Macaca fascicularis: one gene and its partners. The main gene of each other region encodes a partner of the protein of the gene in region 4 in a complex. Links are inferred from orthologs where the notes say so. Each region holds a gene or a part of one and is shown on either strand. Other genes may lie near its edges.

Region 1 (4,147 bases), on a different chromosome or scaffold from region 4:
GGTGCAATAAGATGCACAGCTAGTGCTGCCTTGTGACTCTAAGATCTACCTCCTTGAAAAGTTTGCCTGTGGCAAATGTGGCTCGGCTCCCAAGCCAAGACAAAGTATAATTGGAGTGCCGAGGCTAAAAAACAAAATACCAACGAGACTGGTCGAATGAGGCACCTAAAAATTGTGTACAGCAGGTTAAGGCATGGCTTTTCTGAAGGAACACCACCTAAACCCAAGAGGACAGCTGTTGCAGCAGGAGTTCAAGACCAGCCTGGCAAACGTGGCGAAACCCTGTCTCTACTAAAAACACAATAATTAACCGAGTGTGGTGGCGGGCGCCTGTAATCCCAGCTACTCGGTAGGCTGAGGCAGAAGAATCGCTTGAACCCGGGAGGCGGAGGTTGCAGTGAGCCGAGATTGTGCCATTGCACTCCAGCCTGGGCGACAGAGCAAGACTCTGTCTCGAATAAAAAATATATATATATTTGGATTAGTCACACAATAAATGTTCCGATTTAAAAAAAAAAAAAAAGGCAAAACTCTCCTTTGCTGTTAGAATTCAGGAAAGGTCAGTTATGAGTGAGGAGGGGGTTTAGTGACTGAAAGGAAATAGGAAGGGGGAGTTTCTGGGAATATTGTAACGTTTCTTGAACAGGGTGCTGATATATTAAGTAATATATCTTAGAGAGAAAGCTAGAAAATACAGAAGTGTTTAAAAATTTTTGAATCACCTACAATCCCACTATCCAGTGATAACTGTTAATATTTTTTTCCAGTTTTTTTTGAAGTCGGTGTGCACATGCTCTCTCCTCCCCTCCACTCATACACATAAATTTTGCTAAATTAGGTTTATTCTCATTTAGTTTTATTTCTGCTTTATTTTTACATAAACTATATCATTCAATATTCTTTGCAAGCATTTTATAAGCAGCTGAAACATACTCCATTGAATGCATATGCTCCAGTACATTTAATCAGTTGCCCATTGCTCTATTTTCTTATTAAAAAATAATCAGTCATAGTATCTCTCTCTCACACATACCCCTACACCTCTAGACATTCTTTAAGCTCTGCATTCATTCTCTATTTCCCTCCAGAAAGGTTGTACCGATTTACAGTTTCACTGGCAAGATATGAGGGCTCCTTGTATCGCAGTCCAACCCCAGCTCATTTCTTAGTATAGGTTTGTTTTTAGGATGGTCGGGCTCAAAGCAGAACTAAGAGATCTGCCGTTTTGGACACGGCCGAGGCACGCAGCTCCCGGGGCCTGGAACGCGCTCTGAGTACGCCGGTCCCTTCAAGGTTGCGCGGGCTCCCGACGAGACCCGGCCCAGCCGGGCACCCCCGCGCGCTCCCGGATCTCGCCGGCCTCGCGCCGGCCGGTTGCCATGAGAACCACGGAGCCTCGGAACGCCCGCAGACTAGCCTGTATCTGAGGGGGCGAGGGATACCGAGGCCCAGGCATGGAGCTGCCGGATCCGGTGCGCCAGCGGCTGGGAAACTTCAGCCGGGCTGTGTTCACTGATTCCAATCGGACCGGTCCGGAGTACAGTGAGGGTCCCGGTGAGTGACCGAGGCCGGCGCAGGGGGTGTGGCCTGCTGAGGGCTTGGCGTGGGTTTTGGAGCGTCCAGAATTTGCCCGTACCTAAAATGGCGATGTCGCCTTCAGTCAGTTTCCCGCAGTGCGGGCCAGAGCCTTGGAGGAGGGGCCGGCCGGGGCGGGGAGCTGAGGCGCTGGCGGCCTCCGGCCGCGGGCTGGGCCTGGTCTGCACGCGCTAACGCCTGGCCTGCTCCGTGCAAGCCCGGCAGCTGAGGTGGGGCCGACCTCTGTGCCACGCAAGGCCCATCATGGCTCCTGGGAAACCCCAAAAATAAAAAGATAAAAGCCGCCCTTGCTGCACAGGCTAGTCCCCCGCGCACCGCGAGAGCGAAGGCCCAACTTGCTTTTCCTCTGCGGCGCCCGCCCCGGCTTTTCTGTCCAGGATGGCGAGGAACAGCCCAAGCAATCCCCACCTCCCCTGTCCCCACCCGCCGCCCAGGGAGCAAATTTGCCTTTTCCCTTTTCCTAGCAGAACAAGTATGTTCCTAAGCAAGGCCATTTTCTGGCAGAAAAGATTAGGGGGAAAAAATTTTTTTTTTAAGAGTCCTTTCAAACCACCATCCACTCCCAACTGGCATGTGCCATACTAGCCGGACGTTCAACAAAACTCACCCCTTCCCTGCCTTCTCCTCCTCCTCCCCTATATGTAACTCTTACCATAAGGTAAGAAAATACCATAATGCCTCTGCATCCTTCAACTTGATGACAAGTGATAACACAGTTTCCTCCAGAACAGGTTCCTCCTCCTACATCATGATGGTAGACAACACACTGTCAACCAAACCCGTGTGGTTTCCATCATTCAAGTCTGCTGGGAAATATAAATCTTTTCCACTGCTTGGTTTTACAGAATTTTTAAAAGGGACAGAAAAGTAAAGGCAGTCCCCAAAGCTGCATTTTGTCGTCTTGATCACTTGCCTATTCCCCAAATGTAGGCCTTTATGATTTAGGATGTACAGAGAAAAATGTGAAAAAATTAGGTTTCACGTTTCTGGTTCCAAGGATGAGGCTTAATGAGCACTAACGTCTGATAATACAAGGTAAAAAGACGTTTTCTGAAAAGGGCCAGATAGTAAGTACTTTAGGCTTTGTAGGCCATATGGTCTCCACGGCAGCCACTGACAATAGTTATTGAATAGGCATGGCTGTGTTCCAATAAAACTTTAAGGATATTGAAATTTGTATTTCGTATGGATTTCACGTATGAAAAAAATATTACTTTTTTAACCATTTAAAGGTGAAAAAACATTTTTAGCTCATTGACTGTACAAAAACGTTTAGGCAGCTGACCAGTTGTTTACCTATCCCTGATTTATATTGTATGTTTTAATTTAAATTCCATTTATAGAACTCAACTTGAACTTTTGCAAAATTCAGTAAATGTATATCTTATGCTTTTAAGGTTCATTTACATATTAATTTGATTTTCATTTCCATGATTATAAGTTTGATCTGCTGAAATATGGACATAGCATAACCTTTAAGATGTTAACACACAATACTTCTAACATAAAAACCGTTCTTTGCAAAATTTGACTACAGTTTCTTCTCAAAGGTACTGAAATGTTCTGCTTGCCCAATTTATTATTCTTTCCCGTATTTTGTTCTTTGTGGATCAGAAGTAGGTTTGATTATTTGTACTGTAATAACAAATTTATGTAATTACCATGTCCACAGCATTGTGCTGTTGCTATCAGAAAGATCCTAGGCTGGTGAGTTGTCTTCAGATTTAACAGATTTTAAGAATTCATTCATTTATCAGTGGTAATTTAATAAGCAGTTGCAAGCAAAAGTAGATCATAATAATCAGGCATATTTTTGGAGCTAAAAGAAACTATTTTGCTGCGAGAGACCATGACTGTTTCTTATATTTTAAAATTATTAAATGACAGATAAAAACACTCAACTATGGAGAAAAGGAGAAATAATGTTCTTAAGACATTTATTTTAGGACCTTTAAAATCTTACGTGTAGAACAACTGATTTCAATATATGTGTCCGCTCTTAAGAATTTAGTCAAATTTAGGATGTATTTTGTAGGGTTCAATTTTAAAAATCAAATTCTTAATTTAGGACCCTTCTGTCTTACATAAAAGCAAAAAGTGTTATGGAATCAACCTTAGGTAAATGGAACTCATGTATCACAAATGGCTATACTAGTAATGTCCTTATGACAGTATGCTTACATTAATTCATTCTTATGTGTATTTGATATTCACTGCATATAAAGCAAGATGCTAGATTCTATGAGGGTCTCAAATTAGGGTGGGACATGGTGTGTGCTTGCAGATAAGTAGATAAATAGAAGAGAAGAAGGAAAGGGGACTAATATTTGTTGAGTGCCTACTAAGTGTGCCCAGCACAGTGCTAGGAAGAAATAATTCATATTGGCTCTAATTCTCACAAGCAGCCTGTAAGGAAGTTTTAATTTCACTATTTTACAGATGAAGAAATAGAAGCTCAAAGAACTTAAATAATTTATATAAAGTCTGACATCCAGGGTCACAGAGGTTTGGGGAGCTTGGGTTTGCTTGAACTCTGAAGCCCGTGATCTGT
Region 2 (3,500 bases), on a different chromosome or scaffold from region 4:
TAGGGCTCGCAGGAATGCAGTGTGAAAGTCATGCAATGGGCTAGCTCTCACCTCCCTCCAATCCCTAGAGAGTGCTTGGATTCTACCACTTAAAACTGGAACTGTCTGTGGGGGCAGCAGCCCTATCAGCCTTGTTCATGATATATCGGTATTTCTAATGCAGCGTCCGGTATGTTCTGGGCACTCAGTGAGTTATGTTTTTAGTGATTAATGACTAGGAAGGAGGTGGGTCCAGTAAGTGTGGAAAGACCTATTATGAGGAATGTGATGGATGTTACTGGGAGGCTTGGAGCAGATGCCAGGCACCATTCTAAGTGCTGTACGTGTCCACCATCTTTGAATCCTCTTGGCTGTCCTAGGAGGTAGGTTCAGTTACTGTCACTCTCTGGCAGATGAGTTACAGGGAGATGAATGAGCTTGCCCACGGCTGCACAGCTGGGAAGTGGCAGAGCTGGGACAGGAATCTAGGCGGTCTGGCCCCAGGGACCTTATACTTTACCACCACACTGGGCCAGCTCTCTCTGTGAGCCCACATGACAGGCTACACACACCCAGTGGACTGGGACTTCCAGCTTAGGTCTGTGTGACACCAAAGGTTGTGCTCTAAAGGACGAGCATGTAAACTAATAGCAGGAATTTGTTTAAAATTTTCTTAAGCAGATTTTAAGGTTAGAGGATCAGGAGTATAGAAATTGGGTCTAATCTCCTCACTAAGTGAAGACTGTTATGATTGCCTGGAATCATTGACAGTATCTGTGAAGCCATCAGTAAATGATTCCAGGGTAGCCCTGTAGTTTCATTGAGTATGCTGGAGTTCTTTACCAGTGTGTGGTTTGGGAATGGTATGTGGTGAAAGAGGAATCAAGGAAATCAGCACGGCCCTACCGTTTCCTTCTCGTGACTGTTGAGTGAGCTGCTGAGATGAGGGCAGCTACTGCCATTGACACCAGGACTCTCCAAAGCTCATTGATATTGAATCCTTTGGTTTTTGCCAATTCCACGGACACACCATGGAAGTGGCTTCAGCAGAGGCTGGTATGGCAGGCTATGCTCTTTCTTGGAACCCGGTGTCATTGCTGAATCAGGGGCCACTGTGCTCAGAGTAAGGAACCCAGGTTGTCCTTATGTTAAACAAGAGCTAATTGAATCGCAGCCTAGGATCCCCTCCATGCTGAAACTCTTTGGTGCGGTGTGTTATGCAGAGGGCTTCGCAGTGACTGGCGTTGCACTTCTGCCATTCTCGTCACATGACAGCTCACAACCTTGTTACTGAGTCATGTCACTTTCTTCTGTGAGAGGTTTTGACTCGCAGGTCTTCTTGGTCATGGGGGCAGACACATAAGGACTGCTTATTTATCTCTAAAATGACTGCTTAAATACTTGGTCATTTTGAATTATAAACAGCATGGTGCATGATTAAGTTCAAAGTGGTATAAACAACTATTAATAGATACATGAGGCTCCTTCCTCAACAGTGGTTTCCAAGAATTGAAGTTTAGAGCAAATGACAGATTCATCCTATAGTGTGAGGAGGCCCAGCTACCTTTAGAGGATGGGTTGATGCCTTGCTAGTCTGCTGGCGGTGGCCATGAATGCAAAATGTCCTTTAATAGCACTGGGATAAGCAGGGCTTCCTGGTGTTGCTGAAAACGTTTGTCTGTGTCTGTTTTCTATTGCTCATAATCCTACCACCCAGAGAAACCACTGTGTGTGTGTGTGTGTTTATGTATGTGTGCACTTGCATTTGTGTAGAAGTTGTGTATAAATTGGGTCAAATGAATATTCGGGGGTGTGTGGGGGCTTAAGCATATGTATCCTGGGACTGTGTGTGAATGTGCATGTGTGGGTATGGAGTGTGTAGGAGTTGTGTTTTGGAGGTGAGGATATATATGTGCGCTTGACAGTGTGATGGAGTTTTGTGTGTATGTATTTGAGATATAATTCACATACCATAAAACTCACCATTTTAAAGTATACAATTCTGTGGCTTTTAGTATAGTCACAGGTTGTGCAACCATTACCACTAATTCCAGAACATTTCCATCACCCCAAAAAGGAGCCCTGTGTTAGCAGTCACTCCTCATTCTTCTCCAGCTCTGTCCCCCAGCCCCTGGCAACCACTGATCTAGTTTTCATCTCTATGGGTTTGCCAATTGGACATTCCGTATAAATGGAATTAGAAGTGTGGCCTTTCGTGTCTGGCTTTTATGACTTAGCATGTTTTCAAGATTCATCTGTACTGTGGCATGTATTAGTACTATTTTTAAGGATAAGTCATATTCCTTTGTAAGGCTAGACTTTGTATTTATCCATTTATCAGTTGATGGACATTTCGGTGGTTTTTGGTTTTAGCTATTATGATAGTGCAGCTGTGAACATTTGTGTACAAGTTTTTGTGTAAACTTTGTTATTAGAGGTAACTACTTTTAAAGTTTTGGTTATATCTTCAAGTATTTTCTTTGTGAATGTATATATGTTTATTACTTTTGCAAATGTGGATCATAGTATACACATGTTGTGTAGCATGCTTCCCCCTACTTGGCCATATATCAGGGGAGGTTTCTTTCCAGTTGGTTGTTATTTTAGCCCATCCTCCCTGGGTAGAGCATCTTCAACACTCCTGGTCTTCACTCTGCAGGTCCCTATCACTGTTCAGTCAGTCCTCATTCAGTCTCTAAATAAAACGCTCACCCGACGGGAAGACACTGATGTGCTACAGCCGGCTCTCGTCAATGCTGGACACTTTCACCTTTGCATGAATGTTGTTCTTGAGGTAGGTGCCGAATTTGGCTTTGAGAGCTTGTCTGTGGCAGACTTAAGCCTCCTGTCGCGCTGGGGTAACTGGATGCCGTCCGAGGACACTCTGTCCTAGCCTGTGGTGTGGCTTTACCTGGCTTGGCTGCCTGCTTGCCTTTCTGCTGTCTCATCAAAGGACACCTCTTGTCTCCACAAACCTAGTGACTTGCCGGAATACATCAAAATATTTTTGTTGTTGCTGTTTTTGTTTTAACATGTTTCCTCTGCAGAGATAGGCTTATTACATTCTGCTTGGACCAGCTTATGTGGAACTTCTGTAATTGGGCAGAGTGGCTCAGATGACCTTGTCTGCTAGGGGTGGTGCTGAGGGAACACCTCTCGTAATCCAACTGGACAGCAGAGCAAGGCTTTAACACATGGAGAAATGGGGAAAGATTTGCTATCTGTGGGTATTTTCAGTTATTCATACAGCTTCTGAAATGTAATGGAACAGGTATATTAGGAGTATCATTTTTTTTTAGGTAAAATACAGCCTCACATACACAGATAGAGGTGAAGTCACCAAAGCTGATCTGTCATTCCTTCTGGGGACAGTTAGCAGTGTAGTGGTCCCACTGCAGCAAAAGTTTGAAATTCATTTTCTTCAGGTAAGGTTGATCAATTTGGCATAAGTATTTAATTGCCAAGTTAAAAAGAAATAATGACTTCTTAGTGGATAAAACTGAATTTCTAAGTATTACATC
Region 3 (4,110 bases), on a different chromosome or scaffold from region 4:
GGCACGCGCCACCACATCCGGCTAATTTTGTATTTTTAGTGGAGATGGGGTTTCAGCATGTTGGTCAGGCTTGTCTCGAACTCCTGACCTCAGATGATCCGCCCTCCTGGGCCTCCCAAAGCGCTGGGATTACAGGCGTGAGCCACTGTGCCTGGCCCGCGTATCCCTGTTTGTAGCACCTATTATCTTACGGATTTATTTGTTTGCATGTCTGTTGTTGATCTCCCTGACTAGAATACTATTACTAGGTAATAAATAAATATATAAAAATATTTGTTGAAGGAATGAGAAATGCCTCTTGGGCTTGTACTTTAGTCTGGCTAAAGGCACTGAGACGTCGAGTGGGAAGTAGGAAGATATTGTTCTCCTGGGAAATGGGCCGGGAGTTTCCTTGAGGATGGGACTTGACTGAGCAATTAGAGAAGAACTTTCAGATCTGCAGGGACCTGCGCTGAGGCCCAAAGGTCATGACGTCGCCGGTGATAAGAGCTTCCTGGACTGTAGCTGGGCAATGTCGGAGGTCCAGCACCTCCAAGAGATAAAGAAATCTAAGTTGAGTTTCCCTTCCCGTAGGCTCCAAGCCTCCCAGAGACGCAGGGACTGTACCATTCCCTTCGTCCACTCCCACCTTTCCAGCCACCTTGCTTTGCTCTTATTCCCACGCTAGTTTAAGGACGCGGACCACTTTTTGCACTCTGCAAATCCTTCACCAAACTGAGCAAAGTAGTCTGAGAGAAATCAGTCTTCCTCAAGGAAGGTTCAGGCCTAGGGTCCTCAGACAACCAGGGGCTCTGTGACAATCTGTAACTGCCGAGCAGTCCAGGAACACCGGCCTCTCCACGTTCGGGTCCCTTGTTTCTCAGGCCCAGCTTGGTGGGAAGTTAAAGGCATGAGGAGAGGAGGAAGGGGAGCGGGTGTGAGTCTTCGGCATGGCGGGGACCTCAGCCCGGCGTGGCGGTGGGAGTGATCTCAAGTGATCCACAACTGGGCAGCGTAGCTGGGGCTGGGGGCCGCTCCCGGCGTGGGCAACCGCGGAAGCAGAGGTGTCCCCAGGCTAGGCCAGGGTGGGTTTCCGTTCGTCGGCCCTGCGTGGGCAGATCGGGCGCTGCGCGGCTGTGCCACCCCTCACCCTCTGAGAAACAAAGGGCCTGGCTGCGCACGGGTACCCAGCCATTGGGTTAGAAGCTCCTTCGGGTACCCCTGACCTGAGTTAGCCCTGAAAGACCCACAGCAGATGGAGAATGTACTGCTCTCGCGAGGTTTTCCGAGAACGCGGCAGCACGCCCGCGTACGCGGTTACCAAGGCAACTGGGCGGTGCCTGAGCTGGCGGAAAGGAGGAGTTCGTCTAGATTTGTCCGCTTGCTGGTGGACTTGCGGGAGTCGCAGTCTCTGAACTTCCAGCCTCAGAGACCGCCGCTCTTGTTCCCAAGGGCCATGGGCCGGGTCTCAGGGCTTGTGCCCTCTCGCTTCCTGACGATCCTGGCGCATCTGGTGGTCGTCATCACCTTATTCTGGTCCCGGGTAAGACCCACGGCTGCCCTCCGTCCGCCCCCATTCCCATCTCGGAGTCGTCCCCGCCCCACCCTGCCCCTCTCCCAGTGTCTTACCCACTTGGGTTTTCTCGTGTTCCGCCGTCCCTAGGCCTGCCCAGCAGCCTGCCCCTTTTTCACTTCTCTTCCTCTCTGCCCTGCTCCCAGGACAGCAACATTCAGGCCTGCCTGCCTCTCAGGTTCACCCCCGAGGAGTATGACAAGCAGGACATTCAGTGAGCTCTTAGGACGGGGTGGCCAGAACGAAGAGGTGGTGGGAGTGGAGGGGTCTTAGAAGAAGTCCAAAGGCCTGAGCCAGTCCACTTCCTCTCTGCAGGCTGGTGGCCGCGCTTTCTGTCACCCTGGGCCTCTTTGCAGTGGAGCTGGCCGGTTTCCTCTCAGGAGTCTCCATGTTCAACAGCACCCAGAGCCTCATCTGTATCCTTTCTGCCTGCCCACCTTTCCCACACGACCCATTTCTATCAGGACTCCCTTCAGCCACCTGACACAATAGTGTCTGCTGTAGCCAGTCTCTCCAGTTCAAAGATCTTCAACCATGTGCTAAATCCTGCTGTTTACTAGGCACTTAAAATTCCGAAATGAGAGTAAAATACAGTTTTTGGCCAGGCACGTTGGCTCACGTCTGTAATCCCAGCACTGTGGGAGGCCCGCGCAGGAGGCAACATAGTTAGACCCCGTGTCTACAAAATAAATAGTAATAATAAAAACTCCACTTTTTTTTTTTTTAACCATGAGGAGGAGGTAGATACACATCTGTAATTCAGTGTGATAAGCAGTGTGCTATGGGAGTGTGTAAAGATAGCACAGGCAGGGTGCGATGGCTCATGCCTGTAATGCCAGCACTTTGGGAGACCGAGGCAGGTGGATCACCTGAGGTCAGGAGTTCAAGACCAGCCTGACCAACATAGTGAAACCCTGTCTGTACTAAAAATACAGAAATTAGTCGGGCGTGGCGGTGCACTCCTGTAATCCCAGCTACTCAGGAGGCTGAGGAAGGAGAATTGCTTGAACCCAGGAGGCAGAGGTTGCAGTGAGCTGAGATCGTGCCACTGCACTCCAGCCTGGGCGACAGAGCAAGACTCTGGCAAAAAACGAAAGATATAAAGCACATTGGGAACTCAGAAGAGGCAACGGAAGCCAGGCACATGGGTCAGAGAATTGTGGACCAGGAGGACCAGGACACTGGAGGCTGATTCCAGCGCATATCAAGTCGCTGTCAGCACTCCTGTGTGGCATAGCAGGAGAGCCTACTCTTACCTCTCATCTGAAGGATCCAGGCTGGCCCCTAGATATGGAGTAGGGTAGCCTGAGATCCCATCTGCGCAGTCACTTCTGGTCTCTCCTCACATGACTGTCCTAAAATTCAGAAGTCGGGGATGCTGACTCTAGCCCTTGCAATATGGTGAGGGAGCAAACGATGAACCTGAATGCAGATGCCAACCCCACCACTGGCCTTTGGCCTTTTCTGACCCCTCACTATCTGTCGATCCAAAGACTTTCCTTAACTCTGGTGCCTTCCCAAGCCATTGGGGCTCACTGTAGTGCATCCGTGGCCCTGTCCTTCTTCATATTCGAGCGTTGGGAGTGCACTACGTATTGGTACATTTTTGTCTTCTGCAGGTGTGGTAGCATCCAATATTCGGGAATGAGGGAGGAAGGCTGACCCTAAACCTGAGGGTTTTTCCCCCACCCAGCCCTTTCCTCTATGTGTGAGATACCAGATCCACTTAACATCCTGTAGTCTTTTGAATTTTCATTCCCTACCCCATGCCACCTGTCCTACACTTTCAGGGGTGGGGTCTCTGGTTTGGAGATTTGGGTATTTATATTGAAAGGGTTTCTGAATTTACCACTTGCCTCGGTAGTGCCCTTCCAGCTGTCACTGAAATGACTTTATTCGTCACCGTCTTTGGGCTGAAAAAGAAACCTTTCTGAGCACCTTCATGACGGGAACCTAAGGACGAAGGCTACAGGGGCAAGGGCCGCTTCGTATTCCTGGAAGAAGGAAGGCATAGGCTTCGGTCCTCCCCTCGGAAACTGCTTCTGCTGGAGGATATGTGTTGGAATAATTACGTCTTGAGTCTGGGATTATCCGCATTGTATTTAGTGGTTTGTAATAAAATATGTTTTGTAGTAAGATTAAGACATATACAGTTTTCAAGGCACAATTGAGATGGCGAAACTACTGAAGAAAAAAAAAGAAGCAACGTTATTTTCTAGTTCTGCAGACCGTAAGATACTTGGTATCGCTTCTATTTTGGTTATTACGGTAGTTGTCTGGCGGAAGGGAGTGGGCGGAGATATGTAAATAGAAAGTGCTTACAGTTAGAACGTCCAGCACGTAAATGATCGGAGCATTCTGGGAAAAAGAAATGTATTCCTTTTCGGCAGCCGAATGAAAAAATTCTTTTAAAAATGTGCAAGCAAATATGGCAATACAACTGGAAGGATGCTAAGTAGTAGGGTTACTCATACCAACGCGTCGTGAACTCACCCTAGCTGTAAACGGAATCTTTTTGACTGAGTGCGGAATGTCGGCTCTTTAGAAATATCGTCAGG
Region 4 (3,500 bases):
TGAATGGTTTTCTGTATATCAGAGATGGGACATAATTTTGAGGCCAAATTCCCCCGATGTTTATAAATTTTGGGTACCACTGTGCATCCAAAGTGATTTATTTGGTAGTCATCCTAGAGAGCTGTAAGAGCTTGTGCCTTGGGGGACTGTAAACTGCTTAAACTCCAGGCAACATGTGTCCATAAGCAAATATCTGTCAGCTCTATGCACTTGTCTAGGTTTTTGTAAAATGGATTACGAAGCTTAACTGCTTTGGGGAAAATAGTGCAGTCAGTATTCGGCACCATCTCCAAAGTGCTGGGTGGGATGGATGCAGTCACTGCACATTTGCCGCCGCCCACCAGGAGAGCCATGCTGTTCATCAACATGTTAAGGGCTCTGAAAAGATGACCAGCAAGGAACATTTCACACTTATTTAATCCAGCATTGATACGGACACAATATCTTTTCCTGGTGGGACATCTCACAGAACTAATGTCCTACAGAACACACCGTGGGAAACAGAACTGGGCTGATCTCCTGGTGGAGTGTAAGCAAAATCATCAAAGAAAAACCCAAATCTTCCATCCAAAGTCAAAAAAGTAGTTTCACCATCGTTCTCAGCAAACTGTCACAAGGACAGAAAACCAAACACTACATGTTCTCACTCATAGGTGGGAACTGAACAATGAGAACACTTGGACACAGGGCGCGGAACATCACACACCGGGGCCTGTCGGCAGGTGAGGGGCTGTCGGCAGGTGAGGGGCTGTCGGCAGGTGAGGGGCTAAGGGAGGGATAGCATTAAGAGAAATACCTAATGTAAATGACGAGTTGATGGGTGCAGCAAACCAACATGGCACGTGTATACATATGTAACAAACCTGCACGTTGTGCACATGTACCCTAGAACTTAAAGTGGTTTCAGGGACTCAGTAGCAACAAAATGAAGCAGTTCCTCAGAAACCTGAAGAAGTAATAAAATAACTAATGAAATTTCCACCACTATCAGTTGAGAACTTACAGGCCCCGTGTCAGCACACCACACAGATCACTTAACGCAGAGAGGCATGGCTGCTTAGTGTTCAGGGGGTTGGGCTCATATTCAGCCCTTCCACTCACCAGCTGTGTGTTCTTGGGCAACTTACTTAACTTCTATGGGCCTCTGTCACCTCATGTATAAGAGGTGGATAATAACAGCATCTGCCTTACAGGATTGTGAGTTTACATGTGTGATATTTTTAGAAGAGGAACTGGCACATGGCAAGTTCAATAGAAGTATTTGCTGTTATTATTGCTCTCTTAATTTCCAGAAATAACCAATGGACTACAAATTATTTTAAAGGGAAAAAGTTGACCAGAAAGCAGATGAAGAAGCATATGAAGCAGAAATTCAAGCTGAAATAAGTGAACTGTTGGAAGAGCATACGGAGGAGTACGCACAGAAGATGGAAGAGTACAGAACGTCGTTACACCAGTGGAAGGCCTGGAGGAAAGCGCAAGTGTGTAAACAAACACTCAGCCTGGAATAGGGCTGGCCAGGAAGGGTCTGGGAGGACAGCCTCCAGTACAGGAGTGGGGAAACCAGACTGGCAGACTAGGGTATCCTGTGGCTCCCTCTGTCTCTTCCCCTGTCCCCTGGCTAAGGGATAAAAGGATGAATGAACTGACTGGCTAATGCATTTGCTTAAAAAGCCACCCAGTTGATTGATACCAGAGCCAGCTTTGTCCATAGAGAATGCTATGGTAGCACTCTGTGACTATTTAAGTAATAATGTAGTAATCACTAATGCTTGTGTCCAGCACTGTGCTGAGTATCTTACATGCATTATTCCATTAAATGTAGGGATTGATGCTCTGGAGTTTCCTTCAGAAAATTATATAACTTTATGGACATGACCCTACAAAACTGAGTCCAAGGGCAACAAATAACAGATCAGGTGGACCTGCAATGCTCATTGTGCTTACATGCCTTATTTTAATATTTCAAGATGTGTCCTTAGCCTTGAAAACCAAAATTAATGATCACATGAATACTTACCATTTTTTAAGCTCTTTCTAGGGACTAGGCTATATGGTAAATGCTTTTTAGGCATTTTAACAGTCTCATTTCAACAGCCCTGGGAGATATTTCCTGGGCTCCATTCTGTAGATGAAAAAACTGAGGCACAGAGAGGTCAGGTGGCTTAGTGACCTGCCTGATTACACACATCTGTTTGAAATGGGGCTGGGGTTTGCATCCAGGTCCATCTGGCTCTGAAGACTGTGCTCTTAAATGAAATTCCAAAATTCCTGTTTGATGTCATGTTGCCTCAAACCCAACAGAGGGCCAAGAAGAAGAAAAGGGAACAAGCAGCAGAAGATCATCCCGATGATGAGATTGAGGAGCCACATCCTGAGGAGGACCTTGTGAAGCCCACCCCTCCGGAGCCCACTGATCGGGCAGTGATAGAGCATGAGGTGAGGGAGAGAGCAGCCCAGAGCAGGAGGAGGCCTTGGGAGCCCACGCTGGTTCCAGAGCTAAGCCTGGCGGGAAGTGTAACACCCAGTGATCAGTGCCCCAGGTGAGTGGATGCTCTGACCATAAATGAGGCTGACATCTGATACACATGTTCATGTGGGCACATGCACACTATGGGGAGTGTACACTTACCGACCTACTTTAGCATCAGGAGAATCATCAACTCTGAATGAATATTAGGTTGAACCACATGAAATTGCTGACATTTGCCCACTTTAGGTGATTTCATTGATTCACCTACCTCATGCATGTGCACTGGCCACTCAGGAGCGCGCTGGAAAGCTCCCTGTAGGAGAAGCATCCCAGTTGCAAATCTCTGCCTGCTCTTCACAGTGGCTGGCTGTGTGGCTTTTGATTTGAGTCCCTTATCTGTAACCTCAATGAGTCTTCAGTCCACTGGTAGCATGTCCCACCTTTCTGGCACAGGCATGGATGCCTCTCCTTGCCCCTTCCTTGATTTCAGCTTGTCTCCTTGAAGACCCCCCAAAACACTGTGGGTGTGCCCTATAGCTTGTATTTAAGTCAGGCCATCTGAAGCATACCCTCCAGATTTGATAAAAATACATGTCTAGTCATTCTTACTTGAGAAACATCACTTGATTTATATACATTTGTATATATAATAAATCCATAAACATACATTTATAAGTTCATCTTCTTTTTTAAAATTATAACATAATAAAAATATTTTTATATTTCCTATTTATTCTTTCCTTCACTGTATAGCCATGGTTCTCAAAGTATAGCCCTGGAATCAGCAGCATCAGCATCACTGAGGACTTGTTAGAAACACAAACTCAGGCCAGGCATGGTGGCTCATGCCTATAACTTCAGCACTTTGAGAGGCCAAGGTGGGAGGATCGCTTGAGGCCAGGAGTTAGAGACCAGCCTGGGGAACAAAATGAGACCTCGCCTCTATTGAATAAATAAATACCCCAAACATTTTTAATACCTCACGTTGAAATAAATATGTTTAAGAAAGGTTAATAAAAACTAGCCA
Region 5 (3,500 bases), on a different chromosome or scaffold from region 4:
GCCCAGCTAATTTTTGTATTTTTAGTAGAGATGGGGTTTCTCCATGTTGGTCATTCTGGTCTCAAATTCCCAACCTCAGGTGAGCCACCGCACCCAGCCGGCCCTCTTAATTTAATTTAATTTTATTTTAGATGGAGTCTCACTCTATTGCCCAGGCTGGAGTGCAGTGGTGTGATCTCGGCCCACTGCAACCTTCACCTTGCTGGTTTAAGCAATTCCCCTGCCTCAGCCTCCCTAGTAGCTGGGATTACAGGTGCATGCCACCACACCAGGCTAATTTTTTTGTATTTTTAGTAGTGACGGGGTTTCACCATGTTGGCCAGACTGGTCTTGAACTCCTGACCTTAGGCAATCCACCCGCCTCAGCCTCCCAAAATGCTGGGATTATAGGCGTGAGCCACCACACCCTGCCCTCTTATTTTATTGAATAGCATCGATTGATGATTCTTACCTGCAGAAAGTTTCACTGTGATATTTGCCTGATGGTGATTTTCTGTTTCCCTAATTACTTTTTTATTTATTTGGAACTTTACTATAAGGAGAAACTCTCCCTTTGCTCACATTATTTATTCAATTATTTATTTTTAAATCAGTGTGAACTCGTATTTATTTTATTCTAGTAATTATAATATGTTACTATTTGTTTTCTTGTTCAAATTGTCCCACATTTGGCCATTACAAGTTCCTCCAACTTGACTCCTGTGTCCTTTCAACATGTCCCACCCCACCATTTTTTTGAGCACTTCCTTACTTTCTGTTCACAGTGTTTTTGAACACCAATGAGAGAAATTACATAAATTCTCAATTGTTCTTTTGTTTTTTAGATTGCTTTGGGTGTATTGGGTGGGCTAGCTGTTTTAGCATCTCTTTTGAAGACAGCAGGATGGAAGAGGCGCATTGGGAGTCCCATGATTGACTTACAGGTATAATCTCAGCGGTTTTTAAATAATATTTTAATCTTTTGACTCTTCTGGATCCTTTTCATAAGACACAGCTAGAGGATAAGTAAAGAAGTTGCATTGAATTTTTCTGGGGTATGTAATTAGGATAAATATTGCTGGGTCATATGGTATATGCGTACCTCATTTTCTTCCCACCATACTGTATGCCAGTCTATATTCCTACCAGCAATGCTCTTCTTATTTCTGCACAAACTTGGCAACACTTGATATTTTTCCAGCCTTTCCAATTTTTGCCAATCTCATGGCATATAGTAGTATGTCACTGTTGATTTCATTTTCATTTCTCTGTACTCTTCATATACATTTTAATCATTCAGGTTTTTCCTTCTGTTAACTGCCTGTTTATATCCCTTGCCTACTTCTCTATTATGTTTCCAGTTTTTCTTGTTTATGTGAAGGATTTTTTTTATTTTCTAAATAGTAACCCCTTTTTGGTTTCTGATGTTGAAATATATGAACAAATAAATATGTGACCCATCTGTCATTTTTATCCATGTGGTCCTTTGTTTAACAGAAACTTTCAGGTTTGATTTTGTTTTTGTTTTTGTTTTTGTTTGTTTTTTTGAGACAGAGTCTCACTCTGTCACCAGGCTGGAGTGCAGAGGCACGATCTTGGTTCACTGCAACCTCCATCTCCCGGGTTCAAGTGATTCTCCTGCCTCAGTCTGCTGAGTAGCTGGGATTACAGGCATGCACTACCTTGCCTGGCTAATTTTTGTATTTTTAATAGAGACGGGGTTTCACCATGTTGGTCAGACTGGTCTTGAACTCCTAGCCTTATGATCCACCCACCTCGGCCTCCCAAAGTGCTGGATTACAGGCATGAGCCACTACGCCTGGCCAGAAACTTTTAGTTTTGATATCATCATATCTGAATATTTTTTCAGTGCTTTTAGGATCTTGTTTAGGAAAACCTTCCCTATATCAAGATCACAAAGATAGTCCACATTTTATTCTATTAACTTTATACTTTCACTTCATATTTAACCTTTTATTTTTATCAAACATTTAAAAAATATTTACCATGTACCAGGCACTTTTTAAAGCTTTATGTATGTAATTTTCTTAATCCTCACAGTAGCTCTTTGAAGTTAGGTTATTATCATTATTCGCATTTTACACATGATGAAATTGAGGCAAAGGTTAAATTTTCTACTCTCTTGATTTTTACAGCAACTCAGTAATAGACATTTCCATTTTGCTGATGAAGAACATGAGAAAGGTTACCGGGTAACTTTAACCAAAGTATCTTTCTGATTCCAAAGCCAGTGAGCTAAGGAATCAGCAGGGGGACTTGATTTACTACTTGGGATAGTCCAGAAAGGCTTCCCAGAGAAGTGAACTTTAAGTGGGATTATCTCTTCATTCTACAGTAGTCACTGAGGCTCTACTGTCTAAGTGTCTGGCACTCTGCCAGGAACTAGAGGATGTGATAGTGAGCAAAGACAGACATAGTCTGTGCTCTCAGAAATCATGAGAGCTTGCCAGAGAGAGGAAGAGAAGAATATTTGGTAAAACAATGCCCATTTTATTCCACAAAATATTCAAGATGAAAGTATGGAGTGGTTAGTCATTGACTAACTACATGACTAGAACTGGCAGATGAGGCTAAAAAGTTAATTTTGGCCCATATTGTGAAAGACCTTGTGGATCAGGAATTTATATTGCAGTGAGGAGTTGTTCATTTTTAACAAGGGAAGTGACACAATCCAATTCACATTTTAGAAAACTAACTCTGGTGTTAGTGTGGAGGAGAGATTAAAGGGGACTAAGAGAAAATTAGGAAGCAGTTCAATTTTCTTAGATAGTGAAAGATGAGAAGAGTTGAAAAAAGAGGCTACCAGGAATGGCCAGAAAGGTAAGGAACCAAAAGGTAGCAAGGAGGAGGAAGCAGATGGTCTTTATAGCCAGATCATATGTGGATATGTGAAACGAGGTTTCAGGCTTAAGAAACGTAGTGGATGATGTATAAAAGTGGTAATATTACTAAAAGTGGTTTATACATTGAGTCTTAAACAGCTGTTAATTCATTTTTTTTAATTGCAGACAGTTATGAAATTCTTGGTGTACTATGCTGGTGATCTGGCCAATGTTTTCTTTATCATCACAGTGGGAACAGGTCTTTACTGGCTTATTTTCTTCAAAGTGAGTGAGTTTCTGAATTTACCCCAACTGCCAATATCGGAATAATTGAAAAATTTTCTTTATAAAGGAACTATTTTTGTTTGGGAGAATTTTTGATCAACAGTATTAAGAAAAGTGCCCAACTCTCCATTCCTTGAGTGTGCTGAGCTTATCGATCACATCGCTATCTTCCTCTTTTATGCTTTCTTTGGTTTTTAAATTGTGCTTAAGAAAAACCTTGTTCAATTGGAAGACTTACGTGGGAGGATCCTGTGAGTCCAAAATCGAGTCCTGCCCGGGCAGCATACTGAGACCCTCCTTTCCCAAAAAAAAAAAAAAAAACACTTTGTGTGATTATATTTAATCAAGTAATTTTTATTATAGGCACAGAAGTCTGTCTCTGTTTTGCTACCA
Region 6 (4,008 bases), on a different chromosome or scaffold from region 4:
GTTTATGGAGGGGCAGAAACCTAGCAGGCTGGGGCTGAGGGGTGAATGGAAGGTGACCCCTGTAGAAGGGACATGTAGACAATTCTTTACAGAATTCTTCCAACTGTCTTTCCACCACCCCTAAAGGCAGTGACATGAGACAGTAACTCTGGGACAAAAACACTGTGGAAGGATTATGCTGTTTGTTTTAAGATTGTTTCCATGCCACTATCACCTTACCCTTTTAAAAAATAAATCATCATCTATACAGCAATCAGTGTAATTTTCTAAAATTCAAATGTGACGGTGTCATTTCTTTGCTTAAAATTCTTCCCTAGCTCCCAATCACACACTGAAAAAAATATCAAGTCCTTACCATTGAGGTCCAAGGCCATTTATGAAATGTCCCCTTCACACCATACGCTGTGTTCCAGCCATGTGAAACTACCTCCAGGCCTTCACATGTGCCACGTCCTCTCTTGCTTTTGTATCATTACACATATATCCCCTCTCCTGAAAAATGTCCTTCCTCCTTTGTCACTCTAACAAACTCCTCATTATCCTTTGAAGGCAAGTATCTTCTCTAGAGAGCATTCGCACCTTGAAGGGCAGTGAAGCACTTCTCTTCTGTGCTCCCAGGATGCCTGAATCTTTGTAACTCCCTCTACCTCAGCCCTGAATTTTCATCCTGGTTAAATGTTCTGTCTCCCACCAAACTGCTAGCTTTGGAGGCCACGCCAATGCTCTCTATAGTTATGTATCTGGCACTATGAAAGAAAAGAGGAGAGAGAAGAGAAAACACGAGAAGCAAAGCAAAGCGAAGCAGTAGCAACGGTCCTAGAGTAAAAAAGACTCAGGTTTGACCTCCAGTGTCACCACTTACTGATGTGTGGCATTGGGTAAGCTACTTAATTTCTAATCCTTGGTTTTTCCTTGTCTGGGAATTTAAAATGGCACCTGTTTTAGTACTGCAAGGAGAAAATACCAAAAAGCAAAGTAATGAGTACACTGCAATAAAATTACTTTATGTCCAGTATTATTGTATTAAAAATAAGTAATTATTAATAAAATACAGAAATCATAGAATTATTTACTGTTAATAGCTTAATACACAACTGAATAAATACTAATATTATTTAATAACACAGCAAATACATTATAGAAATAATCTCTAATTTTTTTTTTTTTTGGAGACAAAGTCTTGCTCTGTTGCCCAGGTTGGAGTGCAGTGGCACAATCTCAGCTCACTGCTGCCTCCGCCTCCTGGGTTCAAGCAATTCCCCTGCCTCAACCTCCCTAGCAGCTGGGACTACAGGTGTGCGCCACCACGCCCGGCTAATTGTTGTATTTTTAGTAGAGATGGGTTTTCACCAACATTAGCCAGGCGGATACTGAACTCCTGACCTCAAGTGATCCACCCACTCTTGATCCTCCCAAAGTGCTAGGATTACAGGCCTGATCCACTGTGCCCAGCCATCTCTAAATCTTAATGTGTACTACAGCAAACATATGATAGAATTAATGACTAATATTTAATTAGTAACATTATCTGCGAAAATTCAGGTCGGACTTTAAAAGACACCTCCGAATCTTATATATTCCATTATTTTACAACTTCTCCCTCACAAACCCTTTCACAGGAGCTTCTAAGAGATACTATGTAGGAAAATTAAATGGATTACACCTCATCTCATTTTATTTTACAGACCACCTGATTATCAGCCAATATGTGACTCAATATCAATGGGAGAAAAAATTGAGAGGCTTGATAATTCCCTCTTTAACCAAATGTTATCGCAAGGGAAAAAAAGACAAACAAAAATCCTGTACACAAAATTCAATGAATAGATCAACAAGATTCTTCATAAGTACACAAGATTCTAACTTCATAAATATTATTCTTCATAAACAAGATTCTAAGTATGGTTTAATAACACTTTTGGTATTTTAATTTTTTCAAGCATTCTTTAAAAAATTTCCCAGAGTACTCATAAGAAGCAATCTTCCTCCTAACCCAAGCAATAACAGTAACTGCTAATGCAACAGGTGAAAAAACTGTTGGCATCTCTTTCTCAAAAGGGAAAAACTTTATTTTCACATTAGATGTTTTCACAGGAATGCCAAACGCAGCACAACCTTTGATAAGGATGCTTAAATGGTCTACATTTTTATTCTATTTTTATGCATCTCGAAACAACCCTATTAATATAATCTGGCTCTTATAAGTTTAACAAATTGATCACCTTTTCTCAGACGTAATTAAGTAGGCTTTGACAGGTTGAAGATTCAGCCCCAGGATGACACTCTAAAAGGAAATAAACACACTCAGTACGCATCTGATTTAAAAGCATTTAAACAAGAATCGGGAGTAGGAAAGGCAAAGATTGAATTCCCTATCAGAACACCATGCTCAACTCTCCGGAGACACCGAGACCAGTGAAAGAAGCGGAAAAGTACGTTGAGGACTCCGGGAAATCGCATTCCTCCGGGACACCCGGCCCACGCTCCCCGGTCAATCCGCGATCAGCCCCCGCGCTCTCGGACTCCAGCAGCCCCGACACGCCGCCCCGGAGAGGGCCGGGCAGGCCCAGCACCCCGGCCCGCGCTCCCGCCACCAGCGAACCCACGAGGTACTTACGGAGAGGAGGAGTAGGCAGAACCGTCCGTCCCGCCCAAGCCGACACCCGGAACAGTGCAAATCGACTCCCCCGCGCCCAGCGGCGCGGGCGCTAAGTGAGGCGGCCACGAAGCCACCTTACCCGCCAGCGACCCGGGTTCGGAGAGCAAGCCACTGCTCTGTGCCGCAGTGCGGACGACTCGCGGCCTGCTGACGTCAGCGCCTGCCTACACCGCCGTTCCCATGGCGACCGACGCGTCTCGCGCGCTAGGCCCGGACCGCGGCCCCGCCCCCGCCCCCGTCCCCGCGCCGCCACCGCCTTCGCCTCAGCCCGGGAGAAGGGGCCGCGCGGCGCCTGCACCGGGGCCCTCAGGCTGTTGGTGGGCGCGCGCTTCGGGGACCTTACCGGCCTCCAGCCTCCGAGGCCGTGCGAGCGGGAAGGGAGTCGGAAATGCGCGGGTGCTCCCACAGAGCTTGAGTCTTCCCCGCCCTCACCTCCAAAAATACTCTTTCCGCCTTAGAATTGTAGCAAGCGCAGGGAAAAACTGACGGGGCAAAGGAAAACTGGGGAGGCTGTTATGGAAGTCGCCCAAAATAAGAAAATCAATGAATGAGGCAAAGAAACAGATTTGTCACTCCCCACGCGGTCGCGCCCACAAAAGAAAACATGATTTTAAAGCGTGGAAAATGAAGTTGTACTACAGACAAAATCTTAAGAAAAAATTATGCACGATTCCTTTAGAGCTATCTCCCTGTGTGTGGAAAACAAAAGTTAAAACGCCATACTTTTCTGTACCTAATGCTCCCTCCCACTTTTCTGATTTCTGCCGCAGGCGCCATCTTCAGCTCTGAGTCACCAGGGCTGGAAAAATACTAGTTGCGCTACTCGTGGACTCATGAATACACGCCATTTCCTGTACCTACAGCCACGCGCTGTAACCTGTTGCTTCGTTTGTACAGAGAGAGAGTTTACGGAGGCCAGCTTTTCCATTCTCACTGGCATTGCCACACCTTACAAACTATATCTCTATGCCATGTGCTTCCCTAAATCCTTTGAGGAAGCAACGAGAAAGATTACTAATCCGCTGTGTACCAAACTGAGCTGTTCAACTTTGCATTCTAAACCTACTCTCCTAGATTTCTATCTTGCTGTAAGCCACCACTATCTTGCTGTAATCTTGCACTATCAAGTGTCAAACACTTGCTCCCAGTGTTTTAGTAAGAACTGTAGAGTATCCTAAATGCATCTTATACCAAAGCATATTCATTCTCTCTTTTTAAATTCCTCAGGTGGGCGCTTTACCAGTCCTGTGACTCCAGTTTTGACTCTTAAAATTCCCCACACTGCTATCAGAATGTCCTGACTAAAAATGTAAATCGGATAATGGCTCTCTCTTGCTGAAAATTCTTGA
Region 7 (3,965 bases), on a different chromosome or scaffold from region 4:
TTACTATGTGACAGGCCACGAAGATTCAAGACTGTATCTTGACAGATTTCGTGAATTCTAGCTAGCAACTCCCCTGAACGCTAGCTGATTGGAGTGCCAGGCGCCGCCCACTGCGGGCCTCAGTTTCCCCAGCTTCAAACTAAAGCGATGGCTTGGATGTAAGGATTCCTTTTTTTTTTTTTTCTTTTTTTGAGACGGAGCCTCGCTCTGTCGCCCAGGCTGGAGTGCAGTGGCGCAATCTCGGCTCACTGCAAGCTCCGTCTCCCGGGTTCACGCCATTCTCCTGTCTCAGCCTCTAGAGTAGCTGGGACTACAGGCGTGCACCACCACGCCTGGCTAAATTTTTTTGTATTTTTAGTAGAGACGGTGTTTCACCGTGTTAGCCAGGATGGTCTCGATCTCCTGACCTCGTGATCCGCCCGCCTCGGCCTCCCAAAGTGCTGGGATTACAGGCGTGAGCCACAGCGCCCCGCAGGATGTAAGGATTCTTGAGGTCCCTCCCAAGTTTGTTTAATAAACTTTTTCGAGGGCGAGGGTCTCCAAGCCACAAGAGCGCGTCCCTTTCACCTGCTTGGACGCTGCTTGGCCCCAGTTGGGGAGCCTGGTCCGAGCACCCGGCTTTCCAGCCTTAGCCGGGACAGCTGTGGTCACGCCGCCGCGCTCCGCAGCACCTCCCTCCGCGTCCTCGCGGTGGGGCCACAGCGACATCTAGTGGCTGAACGCATTTTAAACACTCGGCTTGCTGCGGGCGAGTCGGGGCGCTGCTCCCCAGGACTCAGCTCTCATTTGCCTCCGCGCTTCGGCGGGGAGGTGGAGACGGGCCGAGTCAGAGTGAACACACACTCCCTGAGGGTGCAATTGAGTAGAGCGGTAGGGCTGGCTTTACCCCACAGGTCAACGCTCCCGCCCCAGGTCTCGGTCATATCTGCCCCAGGAGGGGTGGAGCCTCGGTGTGGAGCCCCGCCCCCTTGTACCCCGCCCCGCAAAAGCCTCGCCCCCTTATGACGGCGCCTGCTCACTGCGCCTGCGCTTGCCACACACCGACACCCACACCCACACACACACACGCGCGTGGCCTTCGCGAAGGTGTCGCTGCCAAGAAACGTGTCCTGCGCGCTACGCCGTCTGTTTCTAGGGCAACGCCGGCGTCTCTTAGCAACCGCGCGCGGCCTAGGTGGGTCCCCCCGGAACCCCCAGCCCTGCCATGGCGACCGCGAGTCCTAGCGTCTTTCTACTCATGGTCAACGGGCAGGTGGAGAGCGCCCAGGTGAGCGGCCGTGGACCCCGCTGGGGCCCGTCCCCCAGCGTCCCCCGGGGCCCTTCCCGCAACCCCCCGGGTTGCCCCGTGGCCCCCGGAGAGCCACGTCATTCCTCTGAGCCTCTCGATTAGGCGGGGGAGGGGAGCCAGCATTGGAGGGCTTGGCGCGAGGCTGCCGGGATCCTGAGTCCCGATGGGCAGGAATAGAAGCAGACCTCGAGATGTTGAGCTAGTACGGAGGTCACACTCGGCCAAGCCTGTGGACCCTCGCACGGATCATGCCCACTTGGTTGGATCACTGGCAGGAGCCTCCCAGGGTGTAACGCGAGGAGCCTAGGCTTGGCTGAGTTTCCAGCATTTGTGCCGTGTCCGATGTGGAGCTACTGTCCTACGTTCTGAATCCCTAGATCCTTGGACTCGGGTTCGAATCCAACCATCCAACGATGGTGGTGGCCTGGAATAACCCAAGGAAGGTGTGCCTGCCAGGCCTGAGGGACGCTACTCTCCATCCCCCTACACTTTAGAGGAATCATTTATTGTAAATATAAACCAACGCTCACCAAGTCCTCAATATGTCCCAAAGTTGGTGCTCGGCACTGGTCCATCCTTACAATCTTGCCAGACAGTCACTACTAACACCCCCATTTTACAGCCGGGGAAACATACCAAAGGAACTATTCTATCTGGAAATTGAACCCACGCCTATCTGACCTCAAAGCTTCACTACACTGTCCTTCCAGGCTGTTGGAGGTGGTGTTTACTATTATTTTATTATATTATTGTGAGGATTGACTGAGACGGTTTGGGTAAGGCTCTGACAGGGCCTGATGCTTTGTAGGTGTCTCCTGCCTTCCTGTTTCATCAGGGATACTACTCCGTGCTCCCACCCTGTCCGCCTCTGCCTCAGCCTAGTGCCTAAGACCGTCTTTCCACACTCTCCTGTTCTATCCCATTAGGGGCTCTCGGCTGGGCTGAGTCACATGTGTCTGTGCTCTCAGCATCATTGACCCCCCACACACACACATACTCACAGTCACACTGTTCCTTCCTCCTCTGCTCTCAGCACCTCCCTCTCTTCGGGCCTCAGCTCCAGTCTTGCATATGATGGCTTCTCAGACCTTTCTATTCAGCACCATTCCCTTACACCAGTGGTCCTCAACCTTTTTGGCACCAATTGTTTCGTGGAAAACAATTTTTCCATGGACAGGAGGTGGCGAGGGATGGTTTTGGGATGATTTGGGGACGTTACATTTATTGTGCACTTTATTTCTATTATTATTACATTGTAAATAATAATGAAATAATTATACAACTCACCATAATGTAGAATCAGTGGGAGCCCTGAGCTTGCTTTCCTGCAACTAGATGGTCCCATCTGGGTGTGATGGGAGAGAGTGACAGATCATCATGCGTTAGATTCTCATAAGGAACATGCAACCTAGATCCCTCACATGTGCAGTTCACAGTAGGGTTCGCGCTCCTATGGGAATCTAATGCTGCCAGTGGTCTGATAAGGAGGTGGAGCTCCCATGGTCATGCGAGCAACGGGGAGCAGCTGTAAGTACAGATGAAGCTTTGCTTGCTCGCCTGCTGCTCGCCTCTTGCCCACCTCTTGCTGTGTGGGCCCGTTCCTAACAGGCCACGGACTGGTACCGGTTGGGGATCCCTGCCTTAGACCTTATCTGTGCCCAGCCCTGTGTCAGGCAGTGGGGACACAGAAAGGCATTAAATCTGTGCTCTGCTCATGGTCTAGAGGAACTGACAGACTTAGACACAGGCAATCATTGCTTTTATGGAGGGAAGCACAGGGCTAAGGGAGCCAAGAGGAGACCTTAAACCAGCCTGAGAGTTAGGGCAGGCTCCCTGAAGGGTAAGTTTTGAAGGGTGAGCAAGAGTTTCCCAGATGAAGAAGTAGGAAGGACAAATCAGACAGAAGGCAGAGCCTGAGCAAAAGCCAGGGGCTGTGGCACTTGGGAGTCTCCCATGGACTCCCGCATCTTGGTCCTCAGCCTCTCCTCTGAACGCCACGTGCACATCTCCAGCTGTCGCTTAGACCCACTCCCAGGTGTCTGACATTCAGAATTCCTCTTGGCTGCACCTGCCTAGCAAATGCGTTGGCCTTAGCATGAATACCACCAGTCGACAGAATCTGTCTGTGCTTTTTTCAGTTTCCAGAGTATGATGACCTCTACTGCAAGTACTGCTTTGTGTACGGCCAGGACTGGGCCCCCACAGCGGTAAGCTGGACTCTTGGGCCTCCCTTACTGCCTTCATGACCTTTGGGGTTTCTGAAGGTGTCATACCCTTCCCCTCCCGATTCAGAACCAGTTGAGAGGTAGACACTGAGTTCAGGGGAACCCAAACACGAGTGTTCCTGGTAAAGCAGGAGCAGAGGACATAGCCATGGTTGGACTCCCTGATCCAGCCACCAAGACTGCACTCACACGCCCTACCCTGTGAGCTTGCCTGGAGCAGCAAAGAGCAACGCCTGCAGCAGGAGGCAGGCCCCAGTAAGCCAGCCTGGCTGTGGCTGAGCTGTGGACACTGGCCAGTCTGCTCACCATTTGGCCCCTCCTCAGCCAGTGGGGAGGACCTGGAGTCAGAAGACAGAGTAGGAGCTTTCCTTCCAGGACTTTCCAAGGCGTAGCTCGCCTCCACCAGGTGAGGGACTATGGTGACGACTTCAGCCCACTGTGCACTCTGCTGT

Evidence for each region.
Region 1: CC2D2A (region 4) and TMEM17 share a complex: the UniProt entries of both Homo sapiens proteins name them as parts of the tectonic-like complex. The link is inferred for Macaca fascicularis from reciprocal best matches to the Homo sapiens genes CC2D2A and TMEM17.
Region 2: CC2D2A (region 4) and TCTN1 share a complex: the UniProt entries of both Homo sapiens proteins name them as parts of the tectonic-like complex. The link is inferred for Macaca fascicularis from reciprocal best matches to the Homo sapiens genes CC2D2A and TCTN1.
Region 3: CC2D2A (region 4) and TMEM107 share a complex: the UniProt entries of both Homo sapiens proteins name them as parts of the tectonic-like complex. The link is inferred for Macaca fascicularis from reciprocal best matches to the Homo sapiens genes CC2D2A and TMEM107.
Region 5: CC2D2A (region 4) and TMEM67 share a complex: the UniProt entries of both Homo sapiens proteins name them as parts of the tectonic-like complex. The link is inferred for Macaca fascicularis from reciprocal best matches to the Homo sapiens genes CC2D2A and TMEM67.
Region 6: CC2D2A (region 4) and AHI1 share a complex: the UniProt entries of both Homo sapiens proteins name them as parts of the tectonic-like complex. The link is inferred for Macaca fascicularis from reciprocal best matches to the Homo sapiens genes CC2D2A and AHI1.
Region 7: CC2D2A (region 4) and B9D1 share a complex: the UniProt entries of both Homo sapiens proteins name them as parts of the tectonic-like complex. The link is inferred for Macaca fascicularis from reciprocal best matches to the Homo sapiens genes CC2D2A and B9D1.

The regions. Positions count from the first base shown.
Region 1 is NC_088387.1:59,409,932-59,414,078, forward strand, and holds the start of TMEM17 (transmembrane protein 17), read left to right. Parts: upstream 1-1,347; 5' UTR 1,348-1,454; coding exon 1,455-1,554; intron 1,555-4,147. UniProt on the Homo sapiens protein: Transmembrane component of the tectonic-like complex, a complex localized at the transition zone of primary cilia and acting as a barrier that prevents diffusion of transmembrane proteins between the cilia and plasma membranes.
Region 2 is NC_088385.1:117,523,226-117,526,725, forward strand, and holds part of TCTN1 (tectonic-1), read left to right. Parts: intron 1-2,638; coding exon 2,639-2,773; intron 2,774-3,278; coding exon 3,279-3,404; intron 3,405-3,500. UniProt on the Homo sapiens protein: Component of the tectonic-like complex, a complex localized at the transition zone of primary cilia and acting as a barrier that prevents diffusion of transmembrane proteins between the cilia and plasma membranes.
Region 3 is NC_088390.1:8,261,417-8,265,526, reverse strand, and holds TMEM107 (transmembrane protein 107), read left to right. Parts: upstream 1-1,310; 5' UTR 1,311-1,435; coding exon 1,436-1,522; intron 1,523-1,698; coding exon 1,699-1,766; intron 1,767-1,849; coding exon 1,850-1,968; intron 1,969-2,808; exon of another isoform or gene 2,809-2,907; intron 2,908-3,074; coding exon 3,075-3,171; intron 3,172-3,416; coding exon 3,417-3,486; 3' UTR 3,487-3,688; downstream 3,689-4,110. UniProt on the Homo sapiens protein: Plays a role in cilia formation and embryonic patterning. Requires for normal Sonic hedgehog (Shh) signaling in the neural tube and acts in combination with GLI2 and GLI3 to pattern ventral and intermediate neuronal cell types.
Region 4 is NC_088379.1:14,692,461-14,695,960, forward strand, and holds part of CC2D2A (coiled-coil and C2 domain-containing protein 2A), read left to right. Parts: intron 1-1,324; coding exon 1,325-1,481; intron 1,482-2,304; coding exon 2,305-2,543; intron 2,544-3,500. UniProt on the Homo sapiens protein: Component of the tectonic-like complex, a complex localized at the transition zone of primary cilia and acting as a barrier that prevents diffusion of transmembrane proteins between the cilia and plasma membranes.
Region 5 is NC_088382.1:103,443,512-103,447,011, forward strand, and holds part of TMEM67 (meckelin), read left to right. Parts: intron 1-824; coding exon 825-923; intron 924-3,008; coding exon 3,009-3,107; intron 3,108-3,470; coding exon 3,471-3,500. UniProt on the Homo sapiens protein: Required for ciliary structure and function. Part of the tectonic-like complex which is required for tissue-specific ciliogenesis and may regulate ciliary membrane composition.
Region 6 is NC_088378.1:39,537,206-39,541,213, forward strand, and holds the start of AHI1 (jouberin), read right to left. Parts: upstream 2,801-4,008; 5' UTR 2,618-2,800; intron 2,285-2,617; 5' UTR 2,223-2,284; intron 747-2,222; 5' UTR 356-746; intron 1-355. UniProt on the Homo sapiens protein: Involved in vesicle trafficking and required for ciliogenesis, formation of primary non-motile cilium, and recruitment of RAB8A to the basal body of primary cilium.
Region 7 is NC_088390.1:19,104,799-19,108,763, reverse strand, and holds the start of B9D1 (B9 domain-containing protein 1), read left to right. Parts: upstream 1-1,165; 5' UTR 1,166-1,204; coding exon 1,205-1,267; intron 1,268-3,426; coding exon 3,427-3,495; intron 3,496-3,965. UniProt on the Homo sapiens protein: Component of the tectonic-like complex, a complex localized at the transition zone of primary cilia and acting as a barrier that prevents diffusion of transmembrane proteins between the cilia and plasma membranes.